2 linked regions of the Caenorhabditis elegans genome follow. The protein of the gene in region 2 interacts with the protein of the main gene of each other region in a biochemical or structural test. Each region holds a gene or a part of one and is shown on either strand. Other genes may lie near its edges.

Region 1 (3,257 bases), 3.1 Mb from region 2:
CATCATTGGCTCGAAAAAAAAAAAAACTTCCAAAAAATTCGAATAGTCTCAAAATAGCATGAACGTACATGATTTTATGAACACTTGATTACTGAAAACTTTAAATCTATAATTTTCGAGCAAAGTTTGACCAACGGAAGCGTAATTATGAATGATAGGGAAATTACTATAGGTGATCAAAGTTGGCAGCTGCAAAATAATTATTTTTCTAACAAGAAAAACGTGTTATTGACATTACATACAAAAAAAGTTGAAAATTTTTCAGCTGGAATTGAGAAATAGCGATTAAAATCCACCGACAAAAAACACGAACGTTAACATCTTCCCATACTAAAAGCAATACCGCCAGAAAATACATCTGTGCTTCGTTATAAACCCAATGTATCAATTCAACAAACACGAGATGTTGTTTTTCTTGTTCTCAATTTTTAATTGTCGTTGTCAGAAAAAAAAACGTCAAAAACGGAACAGATCTCCTCGAAATCGAGTGAGATCAAAAATCAAAGTGTATTTTGGTAACGCGTCGCACACTTTATTCTGCCACATTTGAAAAATGTTCAAGATATTAGGAAATGGAAGTGAAAAGAAAACACAATAAGACTTTCAAATTAAAAAAATTTAATAGAAAAGGTCAAAAAAATTTTGTCGATTTGTGTTGTTGTGATAATATAGTGTACATACATTCATGAAAAAAGAAAGGAACGTGACAGAAGAACAAGGGGAAAGAGGGAAATAAGGATTGATCAAAATGAAAAGTGTCAGTTATAGCCGGTCCGTCTGGAGTATCCTCGTCATTATTTCCCAATACGTGGAGTGTAGAAAAATGCTCGTTTTCCAACACGCGCCATGTAGAGTCTCTTTTGGACAGAGTTTTGTGATTCGGAATTGTTACTGAAAAACAAAATTTTAAAACTTTTTTACATAAAATGTATTTTTCATTTTGCTTGAACCTACTTCAAAATGTTACTTCGTTTTCCGACTCTTGGGTATGGCACTAAGAGAGCAGATGATGGATGTGGAGCCCGAGCAATTCGTTGCAAGGAGAAATCTGAAAGATGTAGATTTTTATAAGGGATTATTGTATTACATGTACATACTTGATATACTATATACCTACTATTAAATCATGGTTAGATTCTCAAAATGTTTTAGTGATACTGATGAAAAATCAATTACCATTATAATCTAAAGCCGTTGACACTGGAAGGCTAAAAATGAGCAAAGTGGCGACGATCCAGAGAAGCATTGTTCCTGTAGAAATGTGAACAGTTTATGTTGAATGACTGAGAAAACTCAGTCAGACTAACAAATAATATGTGCAAGAGGGGTGTCGAATATCTACTCGTCCAGACCAGTGACACTTTAAGCCGCCCAAAGTCCCACCTTTTTTAATTTCCGTTCTGGGAGCCACCGGTCTTGTGACGCTTTGGCTTATCACCCCTGCTGTACTACACCTACTCACCTCTTGGCCGACAAAAAAAAACGATTCCGGCTATTTTCAAAAAAAAAGGAAATTAATAAAAGACAGAAAAGGAAGAAAAACGAGTGAAATCACTATTTGTCCTATTCAAATGTGAACAAGAAAATCTTACCAGGAATTCGAGCCGACGGAATAGTCAAAATAAATATGGATATAGTCGTCACTCTCTAATATCCAGGCATGCGTTTTTAGCTGTCTGGTTGTAAACCACGGTTGTAAACCAGCAGAACATTCACATTTGCACACCCACATTCCCTTTTTACTTAATGAATCACCTTTGGAGAAAACGAACAATGTATTGTGAACGGGATTACGGTCATTTTTTCAATTTGCAAATTGACCGTAACAACGGTCACAACACATTGATGCTTCCTAACAGAATGCCGAATAATCAATAAGAAATGTAGACGACGGAAGGAGGCCAGCTCGCACTGATTGAAAATGAGCAGCAACAGTTAGTTAGACTGTCAGTTGTTTGCCACACGGATTTGACGGACCCGCCCAGTTTGTCAATGGATTATTTGCTGCGTCTTCCTCATTCCACCACACAGTTCGTTGACAGTACAAATTCGTACAAAGGGATTAGAAGCATTCTTTAGGGAACAAGTGCGCTTCTTGCACTTTTTGAGTGATTAGAATTGCCTTGACAGGCAAATTAAACAATTGTTAGAGTTTGAGTGTCCGGTTTTGCAGACTATTCAGACTGTGAACTTAAAGATTATTTATTTAATTTATCTCAGTTACGTATTCATCATAAACTGAAAATATTTACCTCAAACGTTTGAAAATTCCAGTCACATGTGTAGATTTTGTAAAAACAAGTCTCTGATAAACTTCTGAAATTCCTGATTCACTCGAAAAAGTTTATTTTTGCAGCTGAACTTGTGTTTTGGCGAGAAACACATTTCCGGGTTAAGAATGCGTAAACGAAAACAGTTTCCAGGTGGTTTCAGGTACGAGAATGACATTCCAAGGATATAACGAACGTAAAAACAAAGCAAAACTAAATATTCGTGAGAGTCAGAGCCTCGCAGCAACAGCATTGTGAAAGTACCGCCATGCCCACCAACATTGCGCACAATGCGCCTATCGCAACTCTCAAAATACAGAAATGTGAACAGTGGTCGTTTTGGCTCGCGATTTATCGTGCTCATAATTGGTACATCACAAATCAACTGTAGGCTTGGTATCCGCAAATTTTTACAGCACGTGTTGTCAAAATTGCCCTCCAAGGATCAACTTTGCAAAAAACATGGAGAAGCTGTCGTTTGTTGTCCTCAAATTAAGCCGCGGGTATTATTAGTTCGTTTCGTTTCTCGTCTTTATTTTCATATTTGGACATCACTTTGTAGGTCCACCAATGATTTTAAAAAGGTTGTGCCAACAATATGTGCCAAATATTTTAAGAAAAGTTTATATTTTCGAAATTTATTTACGAGAGGAATCCGAGTTATTGCTGAAGTGTTTGCAGGTAATAGCATATGCTGCCTGGCTCCGATCTATTTTGTTGCTTTTCCTAAATTTTAACGAATACCTGCAGAATCTGAATATGAATTTTTTTGTGGAAAGGCAAATTTGACCGTAAAATTACTTGTCCTGTGGTCATAATTTCTGTAGAGTGTTCACATTTCAATAATCACATTTCAAGTAAATAATAAGTTTCATTATCTCAGAATATTATCTAATTTTTTAATCTTAAAAAATTTTAATATTCTTGTAATTTTTGCAGTTTTAAATGAGAATTTGGATTTTATTTCAAAATGAATATATCTATGAA
Region 2 (6,261 bases):
TGTTTTAACTTTAGAATGTCAGTAAAAACAATAGTTGAAGGTATTTTTGCATCATATTACCGTGAACACAACATTCTCAGATGATTTTAAAGATGATAATCAGCAAGAACACAAGGAACTTCTCAAATTTCAACCTCCGCGGAAAACTATCAAAGATATGAACAACATAAAACTTCACAGACGCCTTGTCTAAAGTTCAGGAATGTCACATTTTGTTTGTAATTTAAATTGTGGGATTGAAAATTAATGTTTATGTTCTTAACGAAGGTGGGAGACTTTCTTTTAAAATTCTATGTAAAAGGTCAATTTTACACCATATATAATTTATGAAAAGTCGTTTTTGTTATTTACATTTTAATTTTCTATTTCCGTATGTCAAAGCAAAAAATAAAAAATAACTTCATTTACATTTCTCTCTACTTCCAAATTCTGTCTCAGTGACTTTTTGGTACATTGCTACCAAGAGAGACTGAAGTTCACTGGACCGTGTGCTTCCAGGAAGGAAAATAGAAAACCTACACTTTTTATTTGGCAGATTGAAATAAAGTATAGAATGAAGTATGCCCCCGTAATGCAAACTACATGATATCGAATTAGCAGGAAAAATATGAGACAAGGTTTACAAATATTGAAGAGGGAGAAAAAAAATTAAAAATAATGTGGAGACAAAATAAAATATATGTACAAATAATATTATTTTGGGACAATGTTTTGAAGTTATGCGTTTGTTTTGGAGTCGAGAATTGGAACCCGGTTGGACATGGCTTGCCTGAGAGGAGTATGAGCTCTGGAAATTGACTTTTAATGCATCTTAAACTGTTTTAAGTTGTTAGAAGCAGTCCTATATTTCCTAAGAAAAATAAAGTGTGTGATGTCACTAGCCGAGCAGCAAAAGTTATTGAAATTAACTATGCAAACTAGTTTTGTTTTCCAAAAGCTTTAATCAGGACTTTGGACACTGGAAATTTTCTTCACGAAATTATCATCTCAATGTGATTTTGTCAACCAAAGTATAATTTGTGATAAATTTTGAAATAAACCATATTTTTTTAAAAATTTTCTTAAACACTTTTTTGTACTACTCGTCACTTGCGCCGCTTTTGGCACTCAAAGTGCATTTTACAGTATTTTTTCAATGGAAAATGTAGTTAATACAATTTTCTCATCGTTTTCTTCTTGATCACGAACAAAATATTTGTAACTGCTCTGAATATTCCCACTCACAAGCTATATTTGCTGAATGAGCTTCTTGGATAACGCTCAGATCCTCCTCTCCAACAGTAATCAATAAGAATGTCTTTGAATGCTCTTCGAAAACGGCTGGATGCAAGGTTATAGGCAATAGGATTGATGATAGTGGCAAGATAGAAAAGGAATCCTAAAAATTAATTTTATTTTTAAATTTGTTGTGCACATTAATTAGACTTGTTCTCCAGTGAAACTTGATCCGAACTTTTGTTTTTTAATGGATTATGGTTGTTCAAATTTGTCTATGATTTCTTTTTGTTCTCAAAAAAAAAATTCAAAATCTATCTTAATATTTACTGGTTTAAAGACGATTTACTTTTGAACTTTTTGATAACAAACCTGAGATAAAATACATATACTGATTGACCCATGTCAAAATAACTTCATTATCAAAATAGAAAAACAAGAGACGTTGCAATTGAAACGGAAGGTAGCAGATGAAGAAAGCCGAAACGATTGCACCTGCAAATTAAATTCAATGTTACGATTTTTGGTCGATTAGTTGATTTAGCATTTCCGGAAACAAAATTACATTAAGAGGATGTGTGTCTGAAGATGAGCTTGGTATTTGAATGTGCACTGCTTAGAACTTGTATCTGTTTACTAGAAATTGTTCCAACTTTTCATAACATTATTGTTCAAGGTGTGTATATTGTTAATCCAAACTGTACAAACTATTAAAAGTAATTAAAATATTCAAACCATAAATTGCAAACTGGTTCACTAGACCACTAGACTCGCCACTAGACAATGACAAAATGTGCTCATATTTTTCTCACTTTTTGGGAACATACAATATTTTATCTGTAGTGACAAAATATAACAGTTAAAGTGAAAAACAGTATTCATCCAGAAAACCCAAAATTTGCATAAATTGTCACTTTACCTTGTTTCTACTCTTTGTTACTAAAAACTCTGTTACTAAACAATAAACTACCGCAGTTCTCGAAATTCCGAAAAATACAAAAATATCCACTGAAAATTGTATGGAACAATACGATAGTTTGTACTTCATCTAAGTACATCCATTTCTAGTCTCTGCTCACGCATTCGTTTTCCGCTCCAATCCCTCCCATATTCGGTTCCTCACTTTCCAATTTTCTACCCCTCCTACATCTGTTTTTTATCAACAACTCATCCCGAACTCACATAAAATTGCATTGATTCTCATTTGCAGTTCCTCAGTGATATCAAGTTCGCCTGGTTGAATTGTTCTGTTGCTGGATACCTAAATGAAAGAACAGGTGAGTTTTTGTTTAATTTTTGTTTTACGTGTATCCGTTATTCATTACGATATTAAAACGTTCATTTTAAAACAATCAATGTTTTAATGTGAATTTAAAATTTGCTTTTCACCGTTCAACTTTTCTTACCTTACATGCAATTCTTGCATAGAGAATTACAATTGTAAACAGTGGGAGTGCAAAGAATGCTATGGCAGAGAAGTGAAATAGAATCTGAAAAAAATATACAAACTTGCACCCTGTATAAGATAATTTTTATTTATTAACTACCTTAAAAGTTGACGCTAGCTTTGGTTCAAACATCACTGCTATCATGCACATTTTTGAAGATTTAACCTTAAAAGACTTTGCTGAGTTATTGTCAATAAACTCTATTTTACCGGTATTCTGTTGTCTGTCCCTGGCCAGCTTTTCATAATGTAATCGGCTCGGTGATGGATCGCAAAGGGCATAGCACAAAGGATAGAGAAAATCCAAGTAAAGCCAATTATAGTTCCAATCTTCAAAAATGTTATTGCTGTTGTACGTTGATAGTTTAATAAATAATTTATGTTTATGAAATTGAATGTTTTATGTGGTTCAATCACAAATCTCATTTTCTAAATATTTTCATAATGTGTTGCTTTCCTGCGTACTGCTTTCCTGATAGTGAGTATCAAATAATAAGCTTTGAAAAAATCGCGCAGCCGACATTGATCGAGGTTCGCAACGAGTCATGTTTTAAATCTTACGTTGTCTGCGTTTTTCAAGTGGTGTTTTCTTAAAACCTGTATCTATGACACTTATAACTCTGTGGGATTTGATAGAAGTACTGTACTCTACATGCAACGTTGTCGGCGCATATTCCAACTTAATATAGATTTAAATGTTATTCTAACTATTGTATTTACATTAATACTATAATTCTCAACTATGATAACTTATATCTCAATTGTTTTTTTTCTCCCTTTTCAAAGGACACTAACAATAAATTTTTTAACGTTCTCTTGTCGTAATTCTGCAGCAGTTAGACTTTTTTTCAACCGAGATATCAACTGCCGACTTAGAGAGTAAAGTAGCCAGTATGCGGGTTAAGCATTAATTGAACTCACATTTCTCTTGAATGGTTGAACCTTCATTAGAAAAAGTGGATGACACACCGCTACATAACGTTCAATTGCAAAAATCAGAATTGTCAGAATAGAAACGGAACTGAAATAAAAATGTAACTTTGTTGCTGAACTATTCAGTAATCATTAACGCCTCACCTCGTTGTTTCCGCAATGAGCGCTTTCAAGTTGCATATGTAATCCGGAAATGGCCATGGGTACTGATTCCAGTTCATCATTACTTCAAACGGTAAACCCACGCATAACGTGACCAAGTCCGAAACCGCCAGATTCATGAGATACATGCTAAAGTAATAAGGCTTATGTTGGTAGTTGGAAGAATTACCTTACCTTGCATGGGTTTTCATCATGGGATGTTTTTTCATGACTAAGCAGGTTGTAGTGTTTCCAATTACACCAACTAAGAAAATGAAAATGTAAAGAGCAGTCACCTGAAAAAAATTTATAGTTTGAATTTGAACTAACATGCGAATTTAAGGTTTTCAGCAAGATTTATAGTTTCGCCGATAACACGAAAGATATCAAGAAAGATCATAGTTACGTTGAAAAATTATGTTCTCTATTCAGACATTTTCCTCATTTTTGGAGAAAATAAATATGATTTAAAACTTTGAAATTATCTTTTTTGGGGTGCCAGTTAACTTAACATTTTTGTTATGGTGGAATTTTGCCATTTTAGAAACAAATGTTTTTTTCTAATAGAGGAAAATAGTAATTGTATGGTGTCAATTTATTGTGAAGTGTAAATTAGGGCTTTATTGCTTCCTGCAATTATTTTCAATGACTTTAAAATTTATCTATAGCTTCCCAACTTTTAATTTCTTTTTTTCACCAACCTTATACAACGTGACGTCATCCAGTGCTCGTTTTGAAATAAAGCAGTGCTCCATGTAACACGCTTCTTTTTCGCTTTCCGAATGACTATAAACAATTGGACAATTGAATGCAAGGCAATCACATTGGTCTTCGGTGGTGTTTAGGCAAGCTTGCAACATGTTCTCACTCGGCTGAAATCCGCAAAATGAGACGTACCGTTGAAAGATGCGTACGTATAATTTGAGAAGAATCAGGCAAATAATGAATAAGTCATCCTGACGTGTGACTTGTGTGAATCTTTACTTTTTTGCTCTTTCATTTTCTAATTAGACATAGGCAAAGAAAATGCAAAAAACGAATATGAGAACAAAAAACTAGTTGAAAGAAAGAATTAATGAGTATTAAATTTCATTGTTCTTGCAATTATACATAGGTGTCCACTATTCGAAAATTCTTGAAGTTCAAAATGTTTCTACCAAGTAAAATGGAGTTGAGTCTACAAAAAACTTTCTCAGTAAAAAAAGATTTCCTAGTGTTCGACCAACCAGAAATGTGCGATGAATCCTCATCCGGTGTGGGTTCAACGGGTAAAGGTTGCAAAGGGTAGTCATTTTTTTCAATTTCAAATTTCACACGTAAAAAAGAATTTGGAGAAAGCCCCGTCATTTTCGGGGTAAGATCTCTTTTGCAGATAGCCAACATGTTTGTGATGTGAAAAATTAGATAATTTCAATGAGCACTGACGTAAAAGGCCGTGAGTAATAACATAACACTTTTGTAAAACTTGAAGTTAAAGATATGTCCTATGTTTCTTTAAATATGAAATTTGAAGCTACAAACAGTTTTTGACAATCTCAAATACGACAAAGGTAACTTTTATTTGTTCTTTAAAGTATTTTCGCGTTAGTTTCCGCAAAACGTTTTTATATATTTAAATTTGAATTCACACAAGTCTTATACTATTTTAGTTTTTTTCTGGCTTTGAACTCAAAAAATGTTTTAAATCTTTTTTTTTGAGGTGGAGAAGGAACGAAACTCATAAAAACATGAAAAACTTACATTATCACAATAATTATTATAAGAATTTAAAGGTATGATAGAGATGAGATGAGCTCTCTGTGGAGTAAATTATTCAATTCCTAGAAACAAACCTAGATAAAAATGCTTTATCAGTATATTGTATTGGGATGACTCGTGAAAAATTCTGCTCAATGCCACAGCTTCAATGATTTTTAGTTCATGACTCGGGTGGGAAAAAGCATATGAAAAAGTGTTTCAATAGGCTTTCAGTCTGGGTTAGGCAATCAAAATCACGGGTTTCCCGATGAGTGAGAGAATAGCCAAAAAGAGCAAAATGAAGAAGAGATAGAATAGAGATGTGTTCAATTATAGGGCAACGACACGATTTTAATGTTAGTCTCGACTTCTTTGTTTTGAGAAAAGATGGGAGGAATTTCTGTGGTGAACATAAATATGGCTAACTTTGAAAAAAAAACGAAGATCAAAAACAAAAAGAAATCCATCTCGGGTTTGTTCTTCTTTTCGTTCGTTGAACTTTTTGCATTTTCGACGCGTTGTTTCAGATGTCAGATGCATCCCAAACCGAATTAGATTATGTTTTTGTTTTCGAAAATCGAAGAAGAAACATATATTTTTTGTTTTATGTTCTGTGAGCTTACTAAACATTGGGAAAATATATGTAATATCTAGGAAGATAGAATTATGCTTAGAAAAGTTTAAAAGTAAAAGCATGTGAAATGTCTACTGTTTAAAATGCTAAGTTTAAAATTATGTAAACTTTTCACTAGCAATAAAATCTTGCTTTCATCAGACTTTTCACGGAA

What was found.
Region 1: the proteins of nmur-1 (region 2) and capa-1 interact in a test that uses a peptide from one of them, tested with the Caenorhabditis elegans proteins (one large-scale study listed by BioGRID).

The regions. Positions count from the first base shown.
Region 1 is NC_003284.9:5,917,755-5,921,011, reverse strand, and holds capa-1 (LYMARV-amide), read right to left. Parts: upstream 1,253-3,257; 5' UTR 1,247-1,252; coding exon 1,177-1,246; intron 1,049-1,176; coding exon 955-1,048; intron 892-954; coding exon 795-891; 3' UTR 518-794; downstream 1-517. UniProt on the Caenorhabditis elegans protein: Encodes at least three neuropeptides: two of the periviscerokinin family (APHPSSALLVPYPRV-amide and LYMARV-amide) and one pyrokinin (AFFYTPRI-amide).
Region 2 is NC_003284.9:8,979,311-8,985,571, reverse strand, and holds nmur-1 (G-protein coupled receptors family 1 profile domain-containing protein), read right to left. Parts: upstream 4,597-6,261; coding exon 4,438-4,596; intron 4,033-4,437; coding exon 3,932-4,032; intron 3,887-3,931; coding exon 3,740-3,886; intron 3,684-3,739; coding exon 3,584-3,683; intron 2,993-3,583; coding exon 2,873-2,992; intron 2,829-2,872; coding exon 2,763-2,828; intron 2,706-2,762; coding exon 2,622-2,705; intron 2,477-2,621; coding exon 2,398-2,476; intron 1,711-2,397; coding exon 1,588-1,710; intron 1,379-1,587; coding exon 1,225-1,378; intron 788-1,224; coding exon 718-787; 3' UTR 509-717; downstream 1-508.